Linked DNA regions of Oryctolagus cuniculus. The protein of the gene in region 1 interacts with the protein of each later gene in a biochemical or structural test. Links are inferred from orthologs where the notes say so. Each region holds a gene or a part of one and is shown on either strand. Other genes may lie near its edges.

What was found.
Region 2: the proteins of BCL10 (region 1) and IKBKB form a complex in vitro, tested with the Homo sapiens proteins (2 studies listed by BioGRID, with this or other methods). The link is inferred for Oryctolagus cuniculus from reciprocal best matches to the Homo sapiens genes BCL10 and IKBKB.
Region 3: the proteins of BCL10 (region 1) and CARD9 form a complex in vitro, tested with the Homo sapiens proteins (2 studies listed by BioGRID). The link is inferred for Oryctolagus cuniculus from reciprocal best matches to the Homo sapiens genes BCL10 and CARD9.

Annotation. Positions count from the first base shown.
Region 1 is NC_091438.1:85,920,851-85,928,460, reverse strand, and holds part of BCL10 (B-cell lymphoma/leukemia 10), read right to left. Parts: intron 3,773-7,610; coding exon 3,484-3,772; intron 927-3,483; coding exon 571-926; 3' UTR 1-570. UniProt on the Homo sapiens protein: Plays a key role in both adaptive and innate immune signaling by bridging CARD domain-containing proteins to immune activation.
Region 2 is NC_091433.1:92,507,534-92,515,143, forward strand, and holds part of IKBKB (inhibitor of nuclear factor kappa-B kinase subunit beta), read left to right. Parts: intron 1-368; coding exon 369-520; intron 521-653; coding exon 654-715; intron 716-1,625; coding exon 1,626-1,735; intron 1,736-2,889; coding exon 2,890-2,939; intron 2,940-3,019; coding exon of another isoform or gene 3,020-3,045; coding exon 3,046-3,145; intron 3,146-3,305; coding exon 3,306-3,453; intron 3,454-5,459; coding exon 5,460-5,587; intron 5,588-7,604; exon of another isoform or gene 7,605-7,610.
Region 3 is NC_091432.1:236,668,695-236,675,585, forward strand, and holds the end of CARD9 (caspase recruitment domain-containing protein 9), read left to right. Parts: intron 1-171; coding exon 172-351; intron 352-457; coding exon 458-601; coding exon of another isoform or gene 602-666; coding exon 667-792; intron 793-1,847; coding exon 1,848-2,039; intron 2,040-2,492; coding exon 2,493-2,534; intron 2,535-2,624; coding exon 2,625-2,670; exon of another isoform or gene 2,671-2,967; intron 2,968-3,285; coding exon 3,286-3,389; intron 3,390-3,499; coding exon 3,500-3,760; 3' UTR 3,761-3,888; downstream 3,889-6,891. Other genes in the region: DNLZ (DNL-type zinc finger protein), read left to right, coding at 4,055-4,279, 4,664-4,803, 5,509-5,659. UniProt on the Homo sapiens protein: Adapter protein that plays a key role in innate immune response against fungi by forming signaling complexes downstream of C-type lectin receptors.

The DNA.
Region 1 (7,610 bases):
ATGAATTTAGGTAAACCGCTGAGGCTTTTGGTGGCTGAAACTCCACCACAGGTAATATAAGGAGACCTTGTACATGCTTGTAAGACCAACTGAGAGGAAAAGAGATTCTTTTCAGTATATTGGCGATTTTTCCCTCAGTGATTGGCTTCATTTCCAGACAGGAACTGCTTAATGCTGAAAATTTACTGCTCAATGGTTAGAAAGGACCATTAGAAAATTCCTAGCAAAAAAATGCAAAGAAAATTTGCAGCCTAAGAATCTATCTTCAAATAGAGAAATGGTCCTCATTAAAATTAGTTTTAAACATGAAAAATCCGCAAACACTAAAGCACCTAAAAGGGAAAAGTACAGAAAATACTGAAAAGTACATGATCCACAAGACTGACATTTAGCTATCCTGAAAGTATACTTCTTTTGCTCTAAAATATTCTATTTACAAAGTATGCTTAAAATTGCATTTTTGAAAGACACATATCAAATGTAAATAAATCACTGTAGAAGTTTATAAAAAGATTCATATCCTTTAAAACATTTTTTGTTGTTACTGAACACACTAAAGGCAGTATGCTGTCATTGCCGTGAAAGAGCGCGTGACCGTAAGGGAAGAAACATCTCGCTGGAGTTCGCGCAAGTTCCTTGCTCTTCTAATTGCAGCTCCGGTGGCAAAGGAGGAGCTCCAGGGTCCCCAGGTCTGGGAAGTGTGGTTGAAGAGAAGATGGTATTTTCAGTTCTGCCTACTTCTAGAATAGGCAAATTCAGAGAAGAATCAGTAGAGAAAAAGGGAGCCGTGCTGGATTCTCCTTCCGGATGGTACATGGCGGTGGACGCTCTCCGTTTCTCGGAGAAAGTACTCTCATCTGAATTGGATCTAGATAAGTTGTTCGTGGCTCCACCAGGGAAAGGCTCACAGCTGCTACATTTGAGTCCTATAATTAAATCATTCAAGTGTAAATAGGAAAGTCTCAAGAACTGGCATCTACCCCCACCTTTGTAACTTTGTAAAGATTACCAGCCAGCTGCCACACAGTCAAATTTTAAACAGCAACTTATATATTCTGTCATAATCCATTTCAGATCTAACAGTCATGAAGTGGACTTTTATTTACATTTTCCCTAAAAGAAAATAGTCTTAAGGGAGCTAAAAGACATGAAATTCACATTTCATGTGTACTTACATACTCAACCACTGAAGGACCCAGAAAAAATAAAGCAGCCTCCCCAAATTTTCCATAAAATAATAAGGTATCCATACCCCTCTGTTATGCTTAGCAAATAATCAGCCTAACTGTCCACAAGGCACAGAAACTCCTGAGTTGACAAATTTTAGGTAAAACATGAAAAATCCATGAAGTCCACTTACATGTAGCTTTTCCCACTACTTTCCTACTTCACAACATTCAGTATCTGTTTTTTGTTTATTTTCATCTACTTGAAAGGCAGAGTGAGAAAGAGAGAGACAGAGACAGAGAGAGAGAGAGAGAGAGAGAGAGAGAGAAAGATAGGAAGACAGAGATCTTCTATTTCCTGGTTCACTTCCCAGATGCCTACAAGTCAGACTTGGGCTAGGCCAAAGCCAGGAGCCTGGAACTCCATCCAGGCCCCCACAAGGGTGGCAGGGGCTGAAGCACTTGAGCCATCATTTGCTGCCTCCCAGGATGCATTGGCAAGAAGCTGGATTGGAGCAGAGCAGCTGGGACATAAACCAGCACTCTAATATAGGGTGCATGTGTCCCAAGTGGTGGCTTAATACGCTGCCCACGCCTGCCTTGCATTCATTATTTCTGTCCCACACTACATAAATTATCTTCTTATATATGGCTCACAAGGGGTACCTTCCAATGTGTCCTATCCAGCAAGGACAGGAGGCAGGACCCAGGGTACACATTAGCAGGAAGCTGGAATCGGAAGTGTAGCTGGCACTAAAACCAGGCATCCAATATGGGATGCAGGTGTCCCAAGCAGCATCCTTTTTTTATTTTTTTTTATTTATTTATTTTTGACAGGCAGAGTTAGGCAATGAGAGAGACAGAGACAGAGAGAAAGGTCTTCCTTTGCCATTGGTTCACTCCCCAAATTGCCACTACAGCCAGCGCACTGTGCCGATCTGAAGCCAGGAACCAGGTGCCTCCTCCTGGTCTCCCGTGTGGGTGCAGGGGTCCAAGTACTTGGGCCATCCTCCATTGCCTTCCCGGGCCACAGCAGAGAGCTGGACCGGAAGAGGAGCAACCAGGACAATATCCGGCGCCCTGACCGGGACTAGAACCTGGGGTGCCAGCACTGCAGGCAGAAGATTAGCCTAGTGAGTCACGGTGCTGGCCCCAAGCAGCATCTTAACTGCTGCACTAAATGCCTATCCATAAGCTTAAACTTTTAGAAGCAAAATATCACTTCTAATTTTTTGGTTTGCATTCTTTTTTAAAAATTTTTTATTGGCTGGTGCCGCGGCTCACTAGGCTAATCCTCCACCTGCAGCACCGGCACACCAGGTTCTAGTCCTGGTCAGGGCACCAGATTCTGTCCTGGTTGCCCTCTTCCAGTCCAGCTCTCTGCTGTGGTCCAGGAGTGCAGTGGAGGATGGCCCAAGTGCTTGGGCCCTGCACCCGCACGGGAGACCAGGAGGAAGCACTTGGCTCCTGGCTTCGGATCAGCATGGTGCGCCGGCCGCAGCGGCCATTGAGGGAAGACCTTTCTCTCTCTCTCACTGTCCACTCTGCCTGTAAAAAAAAAAAAAAAAAAAAAAAAAAAAAAAAACCAAAGATTTTTTATTTTAAGGCAGAATGAAGAGAGGAAGATCTTTCATCTGCTGGTTTATTCCCCAAATGGCCACAATGGCAGAGGCTGGGCTAGACGGAAGCCAGGAGCCTGGAACTCTATCTAGAGTCTCCCACACAAGTGATGGGGGCCCAAGCACTTGGGTCATTCTCTGCTGCAAAATTAGCAGGGAGCTAGATTTGAAGTGGAGCAGCCGGGATGCAAATCCAGCACCCTTATGGGATGCCAGTGTTGCAGGTGACAGCTTAACCCTTTGTACCAAAATGCAGGACTCTTCTTTTGCATTTTAACAAAGCATTTTTGTGGCAGGTGCTATTGCACAGCAGGTTAAAGCCACGGGTTGCCCTGCAACACTGGCATCTCATGATGGCACTAGTTTAAGTTGTGGCTGCTCCACTTCCAATCCAGTTCCCAGCTAATGTGCCAGGGAAAGCAGTGGACGATGGCAAGTCTTTTGGCCCCTGCACCTACACAGGAGACCTGGAAGAAGATCCTGGCTTCGGCCTGATCCAGCCCTGGTCATTGCAGCCATTTGAGGAGTGAACCAGCAGATGGGACCTGTCTCTGGTTCTGTCTCTCCCTTCTCTCTCTCTCTCTCTGTAACTCTGTTTTCCAAATAAAGAGAAATATTAAAAAAAACAAAAAAACAAAAAAAACAAAACTCCACAAAGCATTATTACACTTAATCCTGAGAAACTTAACATATCTTACCTTTCAGATGTTCTAGTTTGATATTTCTAAGTTTCAGCACTTCATCTGTGATCTTCTGTATCAGGAAGTTCTGTGTTTTTTCTCGTCGAATAGATTCAACGAGGGTGTCTAGTCCTTTGGGGTTTTCTTGTAAGTAGTCTAACAGTTTTCCAGCCCTCTTTCTACTTGATGTTCGACAAGAAATTTCTTCAGTGTCTTCTCTACTGAGTATTTTTTTGGCACGTAGATGATCAAAATGTCTCTCAGCAATGATTTTTTCACACAGGTATACACGCAAATTTTCTAGAGCCTAAAAAGACATAATACATGCTTCAGTGTTGTTTTCTCAAACCTAAGGAAATCACACAGGTGACTGATTGTTAGGAACCTTTTCTGATGGAAGGTGCTGTTCTGAAGTCGGGAGGCTCAGGCCCTCTGAAACCCAAGCTAATTAAGCTGAAGGTCCAAGGTTATCCATGCAGGTCCCCCACATTCCTCCCTGGTTCAGCCCTGCTCTTTTATAAATATAAAGCTTTTATTTAATAAATATAAATTTCGTAAGTACAACTTTTGGATTATAGCTGTTCTTCCCCCTATACCTGCTCTCCCACCCCCACTCCCATCCCACCTCCTACTCCCTCTCCTATCTCATTCTTCATTAATATCCATTTTTAATTATCTTTATATACAGAAGATCAATTCTATACTAAGTAAAGATTTCAACAGTTTGCACCCACACAGACACACAAAGTATAAAGTACTGTTTGAAGACCAGTTTTACTGTTAATTCTCATAGTACAACACATTGAGGACAGATGCCCTACATGGGAAGCAAGTACACAGCGACTCCTGTTAACAACTGACACTCTTATTTGTGACGTCAGTGATCACCCGAGGCTCTTGTCCTGAGTTGCCAAGGCTATGGAAGCCTCCTGAATCCACAAACTCGACATGACTTAGACAAGGCCATAATCAAAGTGGAAGTTCTCTCTTCCCTTCTGAGAAAGGTATCTCCTTCTTTGATGGCCCCTTCTTTCCACTGCTCAAAAATAAACGAAAAGGGGGAAATGTGGTGGAATGAGAAGGCCATGCCAAGGTGGCCACTGGCAAGTGAGCATCAGTTACCCAGGAATGGCTTTGAAACTGCCTGGCAACAGGCTGTGACTGGTTGGGGCATAGACCGCCCCTTGACCAGACTGGCTGGTCTTGGCTATATAAGATGTTGTACCAACTGTAATAAACGAGTCTGCGGGCTGCTCGCCTCAAGCCTGCTTTCACCCGACTCCCGGGGTCTGTGTGGTGACTCTGCGCCTCTTGCCCCCACCACGCTGCTCCTCTCCGAAATGAATCCACTGCAACACTGTTGAGAAATCAACTGCAACACACCAGGATCTCACTCATAGAGATCTTTCACGTAGGTCATTTTTTGCCACAGTGTCTTGGCTTTCCATGCCTGAAATGCTCTGGGGGCTTTTTAGCCAGATCTGAATGCCTTTAAGGGCTGATTCTGAGGCCAGAGTGCTGTTTAGCTATTTGTCATTCTGAGTCTGCTGTGCGTCCTGCTTCTTATGTTGGATCATTCCCTCCTTTTTAATTCTATCTATTATTATTAGCAGATACTTGGTCTTATTTATGTGATCCCTTTGACATTAATCCTATCTTCATGATCAGTTATGAACTTAAACTGATCACTTTAACTAGTAAGATGGCATTGGTAATCTGCCAACTTCATTGGATTTGGAGTCCCATGTTAGCCCTACTTTTGATTTTACCTTCACAACTAAAAACCAAGACCACGTTACCGAGAAGAGGGGCCTGGGTCCTTGGCAGTAAGCAGGCCTGCGGATGGCTACCTTCAGGGGTTAAAGACGAGAGCAAAAAGGACTGTACACTGTAATTACCATTTAGCAAGGAATTCAGAATTATGAACTGGGAGTATGTTCTCACAATTTACAACTTTCTCACGTTTGTACTTAATTATTCCACTTCCCTAGAGGAAAATTATTAACAATAAAACAAAAACAAAAATCTTAATTAAAAGAATCCGACCTGTATCTGTCTTTGGGGTCTGTAGGAGAGGCTAAACTCTAAGTCAGTGAGTCTGTCTTAGTGGAAAGGAGATGGAAGGGTGTATGGAGATAGAAACCTAGAGAAATAACAGGTTCTGGAAAAACTGAAGAGTTCAAGAATACCACAGAAACCAAGTCTATGTATGGAAAGTGCCTAAGGGAGCTTAATTAGCAGAAAATCCATGTTGGTCTCAATAAATTGCATTAACAACTGATGTCAGCAACTCTATTTTAGCACCTCCCTTTACTAGGCCTGTGATCTCGGGTAAGTTACTTCACGCCTCTGTGCCTGTTTCTTCATCTGTTATGCAGAACACATAAATTAATATATGCAAAGTGCTTTGAAAAGTGTGGTATTTGGGAAGTATCAATATATGTCAGAGACTATGACCACGATAATTCATCTGACTCACATTGATGATGAAGATTTCAGAGGCACCACAGTGTGTGGTGGCAAGAAGCTGGGCTAGATGAAGGGTTGCTGCAGTTCTTGGTCCACTGAGCTCCCACATTCATCTACTCACACACAGACATTTTATAATATGCCAAGTGCTGAGCACTGACTATATTTAGATGACAAGATATGAATCCTGGATGCAAAGGGCCTTGGTCAAGTTGGGAAATGTGTATTACACGAAACCAGTAATTTTAAGACAATATGATACAGCCCAGGGAAAAAAAAATTATAGTCAACTGGGGAAACACAGATTAAGCAACTCCATCTCCAAGAACTGGGAAATTTACAGAGGCATGGAGGTGCACAGAATTCTGGGGTAGAGTACACATGGCTACTGAGAAGGGAGATAAGAAATGAAGTAGAGAAGGAAAACTGGCATGGCTCATGGAAGATTTAAAAAACTTTTGTTTTAAACATGTTGTTATTTGGGGAAAAGGGGGGAGAGGGAAGGAACTTGGGGGAGGGGAGAAAGAGGGAGACAGACAGACACTGAGAGCTCCCAGTGGTCTTCTCTCTCAGATTCTTGCAATGGCCAGGGCAGGAACCAAGAGCCAGGACCTCAATACAGATCTCCCATGTGAGCTGCAGGAAATCTAGTAACTTGAACTATTACCCGCTACCTGGCATTTGCATTAGTAGAAAGCTGGATTCAAGATCTGGAGCTTGGAACTGAACCAGGTACTTTGCTATGGAAGGTGGGTGTCTTTTTTTTAATTTATTTTTTTGACAGGCAGAGTGGACAGTGAGAGAGAGAGACAGAGAGAAAGGTCTTCCTTTTGTCGATGGTTTACCCTCCAATGGCTGCCGTGGCTGGCACGCTGCAGCCAGCGCACCGTGCTGATCCGATGGCAGGAGCCAGGTACTTATCCTGGTCTCCCATGGGGTGCAGGACCCAAGGACTTGGGCCATCCTCCACTGCACTCCCTGGCCACAGCAGAGAGCTGGCATGGAAGAGGGGCAACCGGGACAGAATCCGGCGGCCCGACCGGGACTAGAACTCGGTGTGCCGGCGCCGCAAGGCGCAGGATTAGCCTAGTGAGCTGTGGCACCGGCCTTTTTTTTTTTTTTTTTTTAAGATTTATTTATTTATTTGAAAGTCAGAGTTACACAGAGAGAGGACAGACAGAGAGAGGGAGAGAGAGAGGTCTTCTAACCGATGGTTCACTCTCCAGTTGGCCACAACGACCAGAGCTGTGCCATCTGAAACCAGGAGCCAGGAGCTTCTTCCAGGTCTCCCATGTGGGTGCAGGGACCCAAGGACTTGGGCCATCTTCTAGTGCTTTCCCAGGCCATAGCAGAGAGCTGGATTGGAAGTGGAGCAGCTGGGACTTGAACCGGCACCCATATGGGATGCCAGCACTTCAGGCCAGGGTGTTAACCCACTGCACCACAGCGCCGGCCCCAGGTGGGTGTCTTAACAGCTGAGCTAAATGCTTATTCATGGAAGACTTTTTTATAACAAACAGAGAAACACACATTTCCCCATAGCCAAAAGAAAAGTTTTCAAAGATGTAGAAATAAGCAGCAGTAAGAAAACTGTTGCAGAAAACTGGAGGTAGCCAAAACTGAGGTCAAAGGAGACCAATTGAAGATTGCCTCAATTATCTTACATAAAAGATGCT
Region 2 (7,610 bases), on another chromosome or scaffold:
CCCAGGGCAACGCTGCGGGCTGGGCTGGCGACCGCGGACAGAATCTGGAACCCAGAGAGCTTGTTGCAGTCTGGGTTAGCAACACTCCCCTAGTTATTATTACCAAAAACGTACCCACTCTGCGTGGCCACAGCTAGTGTAAGCTAGATTTGTGTCCCTTTGTGTGCGCTGGCCTGCTTCCCGTTTTGGTTCAGAACTTCATGAATTGCTAAGGACTAGAAGAGTGTCCTTATGGTTATTATGTAATAATAATAATAATAGTGATGGCAGGGACCTCCCTTGATGTTTGAGGGCTTCTGCCACTATGCAGGAAATGGCATTTGGGTCCCCAGGGTGCTTCAAGGTCCCGTGTCTTGCGGCCCCTGCAGGATGAACCTCCTCCGTAATAACAGCTGCCTCTCCAAGATGAAGAATTCCATGGCTTCCATATCCCAGCAGCTCAAGGCCAAGTTGGACTTCTTTAAAACCAGCATCCAGATCGACCTGGAGAAGTATAGCGAGCAAACCGAGTTCGGGATCAGTGAGTGTGCCCTTGGCAGTGAGCCCTTGGCCGTGCTTCTCACGGGGTTTCTTTTGTCCTGTGATAGTAGAGTTGCTTGTTTCTGTTTTGGTTTTATGGTATTTTTCTTTTCTTTTTCACTTTTTTTTTCCAGCATCAGATAAGCTGCTGCTGGCCTGGAGGGAAATGGAACAGGCCGTGGAGCTGTGTGGGCGGGTAGGAGACTCTCGGGTGTCTGTGTTGCCAAGGGCATGAGGCTCGCTGCCGCCTTCTCCTGCTTTCGCATCAAATGCCAGGTTGATCTTCAGGGCAGAAACCGCGTTTTCTTTGCTGTGTTCTTTGACTTTCACCAAACTCGCTGGAAGGGAGCTCCGAGAGAGAGAGAGAGAGAATAGGCAGTAAAGGGAGCCCTGCTGTAGCTCCTCACAGAGCTATACGAATGGGCAGAGAAGATGCAGGTTTAACTGAGGAGCGAGGCTTTGAGCGCCCTCGGAGAAAAGCCAAGACCTCCTGGTTGAATGACCAGCACGCACTAGGCCAAAGGCTTTTCCCTGCAGTGCCAATCAGGGGCCGCCAAAAGATAGTGCCCACGAAGGCGAGGGAGGAAGCGTGAGCACAGGAACCCGGCACAGCTTTGTCACGGCTCTCCCGTGCACTCCTGGTGCCTGCTTTCAGGAACCTGTACTGACGGGGTGGGTGCTGGCCAGACAGTCCTTTATTTCACCCGGCCGTGGCCCTGGGACCCGTCATCCGTGCACACCACACGGATGCACGGATTCAGAGACGCGAAGGCCGTGCGTATTCAGTATCCTTCAGATACCAGACCCTGTGCCTGATCTCGCACGCCCTGATCTCACGTCGCCCCTGTAGTGGCCCTAGGAGACGTGTGTTTTAGGGATGAGGGAGCCGTACCTGAGGGTTGCCCGCAGTTGCACAGCTAGGGAGAGGTAGACGGAGAGCGGAACCCAGGCGCCATGACTCCAAGGTGACTCCGGGGTCTGCGTCCTGCCCAGCCAGTCGGTGGAGAGTCTTGTGTGGGTCTGGCCCCCACCCTGCCGCCCCAGCAAACGTGCGTCTCGGGCCGCTCTGATGCTGCCGGGTGGCGTCAGCACAGCTCTTCCCTCAGGAGGACGAAGTGAAGCATCTTGTGGAGCGGATGATGGCCCTGCAGACCGACATCGTGGACCTGCAGAGGAGCCCCATGGGCCGGAAGCAGGGGGGCACGCTGGACGACTTGTGAGTGCCCGCACACCTTCCCTCGGCTCGGGAGGCTCTGTGGGCCCGTCCCACCTGTGCCTGCGAGGAGCCCAGGCAGGCGCCGGCCCTCTGAGCCTTCGATTCCACATTGCTGAGTAGCAGAAAGGGCGCCGTGCCGTCACAGGGGCGTGAGGCCCTGTCCACGCCCACGCTGAGAGGCGGCTCTGCGTCCACACCGCGGCTCACACAGGGTGGCTCAACGAGCGGAACGCAGAACAGAAGGCAGGCCTGGGAGCTGTTCATCTGGGCCCGAGGAGGGGCAGAGGAACCAGGTGGACCAGTCCTCCATGGGGGAAGTGACACGGAGGCCACTCCACTGTGCGCAGTCAGGGGGAGCTGGGCAGGGAGGGCAGCAGCGTTTGTCACATTTAGGTCAAGAAGTCAGTGCCAGAAGCTCAGTTATTTGTCCTGGGTTTTCTGTAGTTATTTAATCCTCTTCTCTTCCAGTGTTCAAAGGATAACCCTTTTTGAGAGTGTCAATCAGTTTCGGCCCTGTTAAGGGACAGGGATGGGACTCCGGGTCCCCCCACCCCCTGGGCTTGAGTGTTCCCAGGGGAGCCATGTTCCGGGGCCCAGGCCCAGCGGTGGCACCTGGGTCTCTGTTGAGGAATGGTAGATCGCCAGGAAGACCTAGGTTTGCGCCTGGCCTCTGGCTCTAGCTCCTGCTAATGCAGACCCAGTGATGGTTCAAGTAGTTGGGTCCCTGTCACCCTAATGGAAAAACTGGATTGCATTCCCAGCTCCGGCCTGGCACCCGCTCAGCCCTGGCCATCGTGGGTGGTCGGAGGGTGAGCCCTGAGCTGGGGGACCTCCCTGTTTCTGTCTCCAAGGCTGCAGAACCTTTTTTCTGCCCAGGGACACTTGGCTGTTGAGAACATCATTTGCAGGCCACGCACATTTATCAACTGATAGCTCGCTGTAGATTGAGTGGCTTCCCAGTCCTGCCTGCAGGGCCAGACCAGATGATTCTGTGGGCCGTGTAAGGCCGGCAAAGCTGGACAGTCCCCGCCCTGTTGTCTCCAAAACAAACAGAAACAGCACCCTGCCAGCCCTGTTCCTAGCAGTCAGCAGTCATGATGGGTGAGCGCGAGCATTTGACCTGGGGTCTGAACGGAGCTTCTTTTACGTTGCAGAGAGGAGCAAGCCAGGGAGCTTTACAGGCGGCTGCGAGAAAAACCACGAGGTGAGTGGGGCTCCACGTCTGCCCAGGGCAGCCTTGGTGTGGCTGCTGAGACGTGGCGCTCTCTGCTGGCCGCCCTGCAGAACCGCACCTGTGTCCCTGTCCTCAGACCAGCGCACGGACGGCGACAGCCAGGAGATGGTGCGGCTGCTGCTGCAGGCCATCCAAGGCTTTGAGAAGAAAGTGCGGGTGATTTACACGCAGCTCAGGTACGGCCCACTCTGGCCCCTGGAGAGGGTGGGGAGCGGCCCGGCCCAGCCCGGCCCGGCCCTGGTCTGCTCAGCCGCCAGAGAAGCAAGTGTTGGCGTCCGCCAGTCAGCCGCTTCGCAGTTCAACGCCGCTGCGCTTTGGCATGGTTCTCCTTTGCAGCAAGACCGTGGTCTGCAAGCAGAAGGCGCTGGAGCTGCTGCCCAAGGTGGAGGAGGTGGTGAGCTTGATGAACGAGGACGAGAAGACCGTGGTTCGGCTGCAGGAGAAGCGGCAGAAGGAGCTGTGGAACCTCCTGAAGATTGCCTGTGTGAGTGAGGCCTGGCCCGGACCTTGACCCGCTGGCCTCTTAGGCCCTGCCCCTCCCACCGTGCCACGGGCCCCATCCCGCAGGGGAGGCATAGAGCCACCGCAGAACCCCCGGCAGCTGCGTCTGGTAGCTGATAGCCAGCGCGGGGCTCACAACAGAAGTGACGCCTGGGGTGCTAGCGCCACGGCGAGGCAGCCAGTCCCCTCTCGCCTTGTGCACCCTCCGGTGGTGCAGGCCTGCCGTGGCTCGTGGCCACTTCACTCCAGTCCCTGTCTGTCTGCCCACGTCTGTGTCCGTGTCTCCCTCTGCATGTCTCTCACAAGAACACGAGACATTGGATTTGGGTCCCGCCCGAACAGTCCAGAGTGTCCTTAACGTGATTACATGTGCAAAGACCCTTTTTCCAGGGGTTAGGACGTGGGCGTATCTTTCATAGGCCACCCATTCAGGCCACTATAATAGTGGGTGCCAGTGCACCCTGGCTGATCCTCACCTGCACCTGCAGTATCGCAGCCCATGCTTTCTGTGTCCCTCATCTGTGTAGCCGCCACGCCACTGAGTGCAGCTCGGGGAGGAGGTGGACAGTGAAGGAGAGAAAGGAGCAGAGGCAGGCAGAGTCCTGGAAGCCAGAGCTGAGGGAGAGCGCGCCCCGTCCTGCAAGGCTGTGGGCGGCGGGAGAGGGTGGCAGGGGCGCACGGGCTACCCGGCAGCAGCCTTCTGGGCCGAGGGGAGGAGAGGGAGCTAGCTGCGTATGGTGGGCACAGGTGCGGGGGCAGTGTCAGAGGGGCAGTGATTCACACTCCTGAGAAGGAAGGCTTATGCAGGTCACGCGGGAGCAGTGGCTGGCCTGGGGTAGGGGTGAGTGGCATTTCCTCCTGTGGGAAAGGAGAGATGATGAGGTGGAGCATCAGAGAAAGAGAGGGAAGGCGAGGTTCACACAGGTGACGGCTTGGTCTGCCACCTGCATGCACACGGCATTCACTGAATGCTGACCGTGTGCCCAGCAGCGTGGAGAACGGGAGGTGCCGGGGAAAGGCATGGCGCCGGTCCTCGGGAGTTCCTGGCCAGTGAGGGGCACAGCAAGGACAAGAGTGAGCCCAGGGCGGGGCAGGGCAGGAAGCAGCTCCGGCAGGCGTGGGAGCCGCGCGGATGCAGCGGAGGGAGCAACAAGCAAGGTAGCCGGCGCGTGTGGTTTCAGCTGAAGGAGGAGGACGTGCGCAAGCCCCGGGCCGGGATTGGCGGGCTGGGTGGTGCTGGGGAGAGGCTGTCCTTGAGGAGACAGCAATGGTGACTATTCCAGTATTGTAATAAATCTTTTACTACAAAGTAGGCTTTTTAAAAAATGTATTTATTTATTTGAAAGGCAGAGAGATCTTCTATCCACTGGTTTTCTCCCCAAATGGCTACAATGGCCAGGCTTTGGCCAAGCCACAGCCAGGAGCCAGGAGCCTCCTCCAGGTCTCCCATGTGGGTGCAGGGGCCTAAGCATGTGTGCCGTCCCCTACTGCTTTCCCAGGCCACAGCAGAGAGCTGGATGGGAAGTGGAGCAGCCGGGACTCAAACTGGCGCCCATATGGGATGCCGGCACTGCAAGTGGAGGCTTAGCCTACTGTGCCACAGTGCCAGTCCCAGACACCTTGATTTTCTTGTCAGCTGTGCTGAACATGGTGCCTTCCCAGAGAGCCTTGGAACCTTTTACGTGTCTCAGTCTTAGAAAAGAGAACAAAACACCTTCCTTTTCTTTTCTTCTAAGAGTTTAGCAGGAATCAAACTAATGAGATAAAGCCCGCAAGTAGCACGTCTCCCTGTTTCGGATCCTCTCCCAGTGAGTGTTCCTGTCTAGAAAGAAACTCTTTAGAGGCCTGTGTGAAAGACCCGCTGGCGTGGGGCCAGGGACGGCGGGACCAGCAGTGGTGCCGTGCGAAGGTGCTGGGGTCGGAAGGCACACCTGGCCTCATCACTTGGCTCCAAGATGCTGTTGACTTTCTTTTCGGTTTCGTCCCTAGAGCAAGGTCCGCGGTCCTGTCAGCGGAAGTCCGGACAGCATGAACGCGTCTCGGCTCAGCCACCCTGGTCAGCTCATGTCTCAGCCTTCCCCTGCCTCCGACAGCCTGCCTGAGCCGGTCAAGAAGAGGTAAGCCGTGGTGAAAGGGGGTGCGGCTGGAGACTGTGGGCGTGGGGAGGCTGATGACCTGCAGACGCTCTGTGTTTGCTCTAGACAAGGGTGCTGCAAAACGTCGTGCAAAAGGATTAAAGTTTATTTTGGCGCAAAAAAAAAAAGTTGAAATCCATGCCTCGTTTTCTCATAAAACAACATTTTCAGGAATTTTTTGGGAAAACCACTCAAATACATGGATTTCAGCATTTTGGGGGTATAAAAATAAACATCTTTTCTTTCCATTTTCCACAAATGCTTCAAAGTACCATGTGCGTAGGCCCCAAATAGTCCCTCACCAGCTTCCTTGTGCCTCATTGCTTACCCAGAACGTGGTGAGTGCCAGCCGCCTCCAGAGCAGCTTCCCTCCGGGGGCGCCCTCCCCACACCACGGTCCCCCCCCCCCCCCCCGCCAGTCACCGTCTTCTCACCTCTCCCTGAGTTACCCAGCTGCTCGGTGCCTCTCGTCCCCTCTTCGGTCCCCCTGCCTGATCCAGCGCACTGCAGGTGGACAGAACGGGCCAGGCCCTCCCTGCAGGGCTCCCCATGTCCGGCTTCCTGTTCCTCGCTGCCGCCAAGCCCTCTCCTGCCAGATCAGTCTTCCCCGAATCGCAGCCGAGTCATCTCGTGGGCAGCAGCTCATTCTCACTCCCCTCCCCATCTCAGAGATCGGGTCTGGACTTCCTCGGGCGGTGGTGGCCACCTCCACGTGGATCTGCGCACCGTTCTGCTCGCCCCTGTGCTAGTCCGCTTCTTAGTCCCACCCAGACCCGCAGTCCTGTGGGAATGGCCCTTCTCCCATCCCACCCGGGCTCCTTGGAATCACAAGCCCTGGCTGAGGCCCAGCCAGTCTTCCTTGGAATCACAAGCTCTGGCTGAGGCCCAGCAAGTCTGCGTTTGGTGCGCCCCCTGGTCGATTCTGACGCACGTGAAGCCTGGGACGCAGTACTCCAGCTCAGCCACAGGTGTCCCTCCCCTCACCATGCCACGTCTGCGTCTCTCTGCATCCACCACACTGGAAGCCTTGGGCACCCGGGCACATGCTAGCGCTCTCTTCCTATGGGGCTTTCATTCGGCATCTCTTGTATGCCAGACACTGGGTGCTGGAGACGTTAAAATCTATTCCTGCAGGCGAATCTCTGGGAGTAGGAAGTAGATGAACGAGTCCCTCAGGCAGGCGGAGAGGGTGGTGGGCAGTGCCTGATGATAGGCGGAAGGTCTCCTTCAGGGAGGATGAAAATGTCCTGAAACAAGATATGCTGATAGCTGCGTGATTTTGTGAATATGCTAAAGCCACTGAATTGTACATTTTAAGCAGGTGAGCTTTGTGGTATACAAATGATTATCTCAGGCTGTTCTTAAAAATCTGTTTCTGTCCTTGGAGTGTTTGTAGCCTGTTTTGGTACTTAATCCTACAGGACGACAGATTGTGGTTTTGTTTTTGAAAGGCATAGAGACCTAGAGAGATCTCCCCACACTGGTTCACTCCCCAAATGCCGGTAACAGCAAGTGTCCCAAGTGGTACCGTAAACGTGGTGCCAAATGCCCGCCCTGACGTGACCGTAGGTTCTTACTCTCCTCGGCCTCTGTGAGCCCCTGGGGAAGAGCAAGCGGGCGTGGCCTCCCTTGTTGCCCTCTGGAGCTGGCACTGAGCTGTGAGCTGGCGGCCTGTGGACGGCGTTTAGCGGACGCGCTCCAGGCTCCTTGGAATGCTGTATTTGGCAGAGTGAGGACATACTCAGCATTGAGGGCCCTAAAGGCCTGGGAGTGCAGAGGCGATGGTCTGAGAAGGAAGCATTACTTCCTGTACTCTCCTCTTCCCGCTGGGGCCCGTTCCTGAGCTTACTCAGGGAGGTCGCATCAGGCGGAATCACGTCCCAGAGCTTGGTTTTCAGCAGGTCTCAGGAAATTGGAAATCAGGTGATTTGGGAGATAGCGTTAGGCTCTGGCAGTTTGGAGAGTTAACTTGTAATATGTGGTAGGTCAGAAAGAGCTCTTTTTT
Region 3 (6,891 bases), on another chromosome or scaffold:
CTGGTGGGCAGGGGTCGAGGGCCACAGGCTGGTTGCCCCACTGCCTGGCTTGGGGGACGGCGGGGGCCGCAAGCCATGCTGGGGACCCTTCTGCCCGGCCCGGGGGTGGGGAACGCAGGCCTGGGGCCCGGCTGCTGGCCCGGGGGCGGGCTGACCGGCAGCCGCGTGCAGGTGGACGGGCTCCGGCACAGCCTCCTGCGGGCGGAGGAGGACTGCACGGTGGAGCGCAAGCACACGCTGCGGCTGCGGCGCGCCATGGAGCAGCGGCCGAGCCAGGAGCTGCTGTGGGAGCTGCAGCAGCAGAAGGCCCAGCTGGAGGCGCGCGTGCAGGACCTGGAGGCCGCGGCGCAGGTGGGGGCGCCGGGCGCCGGGCGGGCGGGGGCGGGTGGGCGCCGGGCGCCGGGCGGGCGGGGGCGGGCGGGGGCGGAGCCGCGCGGGACGGCCGCTCTGTGTCCAGCAGGGGACGCGGGAGCGGAGCAGCCCCTACGTCCAGGTGCTGGAGGAGGAGTGGCGGCAGGTGCTGCGTGACCACCAGGAGCAGGCCGGCACCGTCTTCTCCCTGCGCAAGGAGCTGCGCCAGGCCGAGGCCCTCCGCGCCCGGGTAGGAGGCGGGGCCCTGGGGGCCGGGCGCCCTCCCCGCGGGGCGCTGAGCGGCCGTCCCCACAGTGCGCGGAGGAGAAGGAGGTGTTGGACCTGCAGTGCCAGGCCCTGCGCAAGGACGCCCGGCTCTACAAGGAGCGCATGGAGGCCGTGCTGCAGCAGATGGAGGAGGTGGCCCTGGAGCGGGACCAGGTGTGTGGGGGCCCAGTGCCCTCCCCGCTCTCGGGGTCTCCCTCGGTGCGCCCCTCGGCCACGATGCACCCTCAGGGAGCTGCTCTAACACAGAAACCAGCACCTGGGGGGGGGGCCCTGGGGGCGGAGGAGGACTTGCACACACACACACACACACACAAAGAAGAAGAGCGGCCGGGACTCGGAGGCAGGCAGCGGCAGGGCTGGTAGGCGGGACCTCTGGCTGCCTCTGGGTGGCCCAATAGGGACAAAAATGGATCAAGTCCCGGCCGCGGGGGCGCTGATGGGCCCAGACTCTGCCCTGCCCCTGCCCGTGGCCCTGTTCCCTCTGTGTGTCGGTGTCCCACGGCTGGCCGGCCCCCAGTGGGGACAGGCGGGCGTCTCACACAGCACAGACCATCATGCTCCTTGTTTTTGAGATTTTATCTCTTTGAGAGGTAGAGAGAGAGAGAGAGGTAGAGAGGTCTTCCATCTGCTGGTTCACTGCCCAGATGGCCGCAATGGCCAGAGCTGCATTGATCCGAAGCCAGGAGCCTCCTCCAGGTCTCCCACGCGGGTGCAGGGCCCAAGGCCTTGGTCCATCCTCCACTGCTTTCCCAGGCCACATCACAGAGCTGGATCGCAAGTGGAGCAGCCGGGACAAGAACCGGCGCCCATGTGGGATGCCGCCCTGCAGGCTTTAACCGCTGCGCCACAGTGCCAGTTCTTAAGCTTTGCTTATTTGCGGGCAGTGGCAGCTCTTCCATCTGGTTCGCCCCCACTGCCTGCAACACCCGGGGCTGGGCCAGGCTGAGGCCAGCCCCAGGGGCTCCGTCCGGGTCTCCCCCACAGCGGGCAGGGCCCAGTACCCCCAGGTGCGTTAGCGGGAAGCTGGATCAGGAGCAGAGGCGGGGCCTGGTCCCAGGCGCTCCGACCCGGGCAGCGGCCTCACGCAGGGCGCCGCAGTTCCCCAGACGCAGACCCAAGTCCACGGGCAACAGCGCGGGCCCGGCCCACGTGGCCGGCTCGTCGCAGAGCCGTGTCGGAGGCTCAGGGCCCACGCGTGTGTCCCGCAGGCCATCGCCACGCGGGGGCAGCTGCACTCCCAGCACGCGTGCAGCCTGCAGGAGAAGGACGCCCTGCGCAAGCAGCTGCGGGAGCTGCGGGAGAGAGCGGACGAGCTGCAGGTGCAGCTGCTGCAGTGCCAGAGCCGCCTGCTGGCCGCCGAGGGCAGGCTCCAGGGGCAGCAGCCGGACACGCTCGCCCTGGTGGGCCCCGGGACACGGGGGGGGGGGGAGGTGGGCCCCAGGACACGGGGGGGGGTGGGCCTCAGGGACCCCAGGACACGGGGCAGGGAGGGGAGGGGAGGTGTGGTGGGCCCCCAGGACACGGGGCGGGGGGAGGTGCTGGCCGCTGAGGGCAGGCTCCAGGGGCAGGAGCCGGACACGCTCGCCCTGGTGGGCCCCCAGGACACGGGGGGGGGGGGAGGGGAGGTGTGGTGGGCCCCCAGGACTCGGGAGGGGAGGTGATGGCTGCCGAGGGCAGGCTCCAGGGGCAGGAGCCGGACACGCTCGTCCTGGTGGGCCCGGGGACCCCAGGACACGGTGGGGGGGGAGGTGTGGTGGGACCCCAGGCGGGGGGGGAGGGCCCATTCTGGCTGGGGGCTGCAGGAGGCGCAGCCTCCCCTCGCCTGCTGACCGGCCCCTGTCCTGTGGCTGCAGAGCTGGGACCTGGAAGACGGCTCGCCCAGGGACTCGGGGGAGGTGAGCAGGGCCCCTCCCCACACCAACCAGGAAAGGGGGCCGGGCCGGGTCTGGGGAGGGGCAGCGGTGACCTCGCCCTCTCATCGGAAGCTGCAGCTCCCCGGGGACCCGGAGGACGCCCGGCCGTGCGACAAAGGTGAGGAGGGCGCCGTGCCCGGCCCACACCTGGTCCCTGCCCGCACGGGAGAGAGGCTGGGCACAGGGACTGTGACCTGGACAGCCGCTGCGCGGGGCCGGGCTGGGGCCCCCACCCTAACCCAGGGAGGACACGGCAGGCCTGTGGCCCCCAGCCTGCCCTCAGCCAGGAGGCGGTGACAGGAGCCCGTGGGCGGGGCCTGGGCGTTGATTGGGCAGAGCGGGATCCGTCAGCAGCCTGGAGGCGGGGCTGGGCGGCAGGAGGACTGGCCCGCGTGCGTGCGTGCGTGCGGTTCAGGTGGGCGGTGGGCCCAGTGCGCGGTAGGGGGGTCCCTGGGGGAGCCAGACCGACTTCCTCAGCGTCAAACGCGACCCAGCCTCTGGGCAGGAGCAAAAGCGGAAGCTGCAAATGGAGAAGTGTGGGTGGGCGGGCACTGGCCTCGAGGCCACGGAGCCCCGCGTGGCCGAGGCGGGCGGGACCCAGGTCCAGCTCAGCTCTGCCCAGCGGTGGCAGGTGCGAGCCGTCCGCGGCCCTGCAGGCGCGCACACGTGTGTGTGCCCAGGACACGGCCGAGGCCTGGCCACCGGCGCCGAGTGGGCTCTGGGCCGCCCCCAGGGGCCGTGGCGTCCACAGCTCTGCCGGACCCACGACACGGGACTCCGCTCGCAGGTGGCCTGGGGGTGACCGAGCCGCACAAGGAGATTTCACCGAGCCCCCACGTAAGGCCAGGGGCGGTCCCCCACCCCGGGAGCCCCCAGCCCAGAGCCCCCTGGACGGCTGGGGAGGGGCGCGGGAGCCTCGGCCGGCGCTGAGCCCGCCCCTTCCCCAGGACGCGGGCCTGGGCAGCGAGCCCCCGGAGAAGGAGCGGCGGCGGCTCAAGGAGAGCTTCGAGAACTACCGCAGGTGCGCGCAGGGCTGGGGCGGCGCTGAGCGCGCGCCTGCCCACCGCGGCCCGCCCACCTGCGGCCCTGCCCACCCGCGTCTCCGCAGGAAGCGCGCGCTCAGGAAGACGCAGGACAGCTGGCGGCACGGGGAGGTGGACCGGGACAACACGACGGGCAGCGACAACACGGACACCGAGGGCTCCTAGCGGCCCCGGGACACACCCCCGCGGGGACCCCCCTGGAGCCCGGGGCTCCCGCCGTGGGGGCGGGGGGTCAGCCGTTGTACCCTCCGCCCGAGCACAGCAGGCGGGCAATAAAAAGGCACCTAGAACGACCCGCGTCCGCGTCCTCGCGCGCGTGTCCCGCGCCGAGCCCGGCGTGCGGGGCCCGGGAGGCCGGCGCAGCGCCGCGAGCCGCCGCGAGGGGGCAGCAGAGCGCGGCACCGGAAGTCGGCGCCGCCACTTCCGCCCGCCCCAAGATGGCGGCGGCGTGACCGCGGCATGCTGAGGGCGGCGCTGGGGCGCGCTGCGGGGCTGCTGGGTCGCCCGCGGCCCCAGGGACCCGGCCCGAGGCGGCTGTGGGGCCGCGGGGCCCGCCCGGCGGTTGCGGGGAGTCGGCGGGCCGGGGGCTGGGCCTGGGGCTGGCGGCACTCGAGCTCGGAGCCGGGGCCCCAGGCGGCGGGGCGCGTGCAAGCGGCGCACTACCAGCTCGTCTACACCTGCAAGGTGGACTTCCGGGAGGGGCGGGGCCGCGCGCGCGGTGGGTGGGGCTGCCCTGGGGGCGGAGCCTCCCTGAAGGACACGGCTCGCAGTGGGTGGGGCTGCACTCGGGGGCGGCTCCTCGGGGGCGTGGCCGGCTCCCAGTGGGTGGGGCTGCCCTGGGGGCGGAGCCTCCTGGAAGGACTCGGCTCGCAGTGGGTGGGGCTGCCCTGGGGCGGAGCCTCTGAGGGGCGTGGCGGGGCCGCCCTGGGGGCGGAGCCTCCTGTGGAGGACGGGCCGGCTGGGGGGGCGGATCCTCAGGGGCGTGGCCGGGCTCCCGGTGGGTGGGCTGCCCTGGGGGCGGAGCCTCCTGCTGGGACGCGGCTCCAGTGGGTGGGCCTCTCGCCCTAGGTGTGCGGCACTCGCTCCTCCAAGCGTATCTCCAAGCTGGCCTACCACCAGGGCGTGGTCATCGTGACCTGCCCCGGCTGCCGGAACCACCACATCATCGCCGACAACCTGGGCTGGTTCTCGGACCTGGGCGGGCAGAGGTGAGACCGGTCTTCAGTGCTTGTTTTATCGGGGCGAGGGTGTGGCCGGCAGGTTAATCCGCGCCACGGCCCGCACGGCGCCCACTCCAGCCCAGGCCCTGCACCCGCGTGGGCCCTGGTGCCGCTCCTGGCCCCCGGCTTCCGGGTGGCGCAGACCTGGCTGGGTGGCATCCCGGGGGGATGGAGGGCCCTTCTTCCGTCTCTGAGTTGCAAACATCAGCCTCACCGGTATGGAGGCGTGTCAGCTCCCATCTGCTGGTCACTCCCCAGATGACCACCACGGCCGGGCCGGGCCGGGCAGAAGCCGCTCCTGCTGCCTCCCAGGGCGCACCTGAGTGGGAGGCCTGACCCAGGGCCCTCCCCCGCCCCCCGTGGGACGCAGGTGCCCCGCAGCCAGCTGTGTCCGCACACCTGCCTGTGCGCGCGCCCCCGTGTGGCAGCCCCAGGTCTCGCCTCCGCCGGCCGCCGCCTTGGCGTGGAGCCCTCTAGCCCTCTGGCACCAGGGACGGGCAGGTGTGTGCCCGGCGGGCGCACCTGGGTGCTGAGCTGTCTGTGCCCGGGACAGGGCGGCAGGAGCAGCAGGTGCAGAACCGCGGTGTGTGCCCGGCCCCTGGGCTGGTCACAGCTGGGGGTCTCCACTTCTGGGCTCTGGGGGGCCGGGGCCGGGGCAGCGAGGGCCAGGGGAGTAAGCCGCCCCGTTTTCAGGAACGTCGAGGAGATCCTGGCCGCCCGAGGGGAGCAGGTGCGCCGGGCAGCTGGCGAGGGGACCCTGGAGCTGACCCCCGCTTCCCCGGCCGCTCCAGAGCGCGGGGAGGACGAGGACGCCGCCCCGCCCGGCAGGACAGAGCTGAGCTGACCCCGCCCCCCTGCTGTGGGCTCTCTGGCTCCTCCCCTTTTCTGCCAATAAACGACATCAGCTCCTCGTGCTGGGCCAGTGGCTGCTTCTCCTGCGCCAGGACTCCCATGAGCCCCCGGTGCTGTGCAGGGCGCACGTGCAGCCACAGGGCCCCGGCCTCCCCGCCGCCCCTCCTGGGAGTCAGCGGGCGGAGCCCAGGTGGGCGGGGCTCCGGGTGGTCTCGGCCACAGGCCAAGCGAGCGAGCCGGGAGGCTGTGGAGGCTTCGGGGCTCAGGCAGCGGGCCATGGGTGCGGTGGGCGCGGTGCCCGGCCCGGCCGGGGGCTCTCGACGCGCTCCTGTGGGCGGCGGTGCCCAGCCCGGCCGCGGGGCTCTCGACGCACTCCTGTGGGCGGCGGTGCCCGGCCCGGCCGCGGGGCTCTCGGCGCGCCCGTTTATGCAGCGAGCAGCAGGAGCTCTGAGCTGTGACCCTCGGCACCCGCAGCTACAGTCGCGGGCTGGGGAGCGCGGAGCCCGGGCGCGTGGCACGGTCCCCGGGCGTCTGCGGCAAGTGCCGGCTCAGCTGCCGTCCCTCCCTCGGCACACAACCCTCCATTATCCCGAGGCCTGCGTGCCATCCGTGGAGGCCCACCCGTGGCTGAGCCGGCACCAACGCGAGGACCACCTTATCCCGTGCCTGGACACGGCTGTCCCTGGGGGGCCCGCGCCTCCCAGGCCTGGCCTGATCCCCGCAGAGCAGACCCCTGGTGCAGAGCCCGCCCCGGCCCTCCCCTGTGGGCCACTGTCCCGCCCTGACCCCCAGGGCGGCTGCGTGACAACCAGAGCCGGCCGGCCAGTCAGGGCCAAGTTGCCACCCTTGGAAGGGCCTCCCCCCCCCCCCCCCGGGATCTGTCCCTGCGGGGGGCAGCCTTGCCCTGGTTTCGGGCTCCCCTCCCCTGCCCGCCCAGGCCAGGCCCCTCCCCACCTGCCATGCCTCTGAGCCCGCACCCGCACTTCCCAGCAGCCTGGTCCTGGAGACGCCGGCGGGATACGGGCAGGGCCTTGTGCTCAGGGCTCCCGGCAGCCCCCCCCTTCTCCTTTGCGCCGACGCAGGTGGAGCGGTGGCTGCTGCGCCCTGGGTGCCGCCCGACCTGCTGGTGCACCCCAGTCCAGCTTCCCTCCCACAGGCACAGCCGCATCCTGGGACGGGGGGGGGGGGGCAGCAGGTAGCCCTGAGGGAAAGGGAGGACCACGG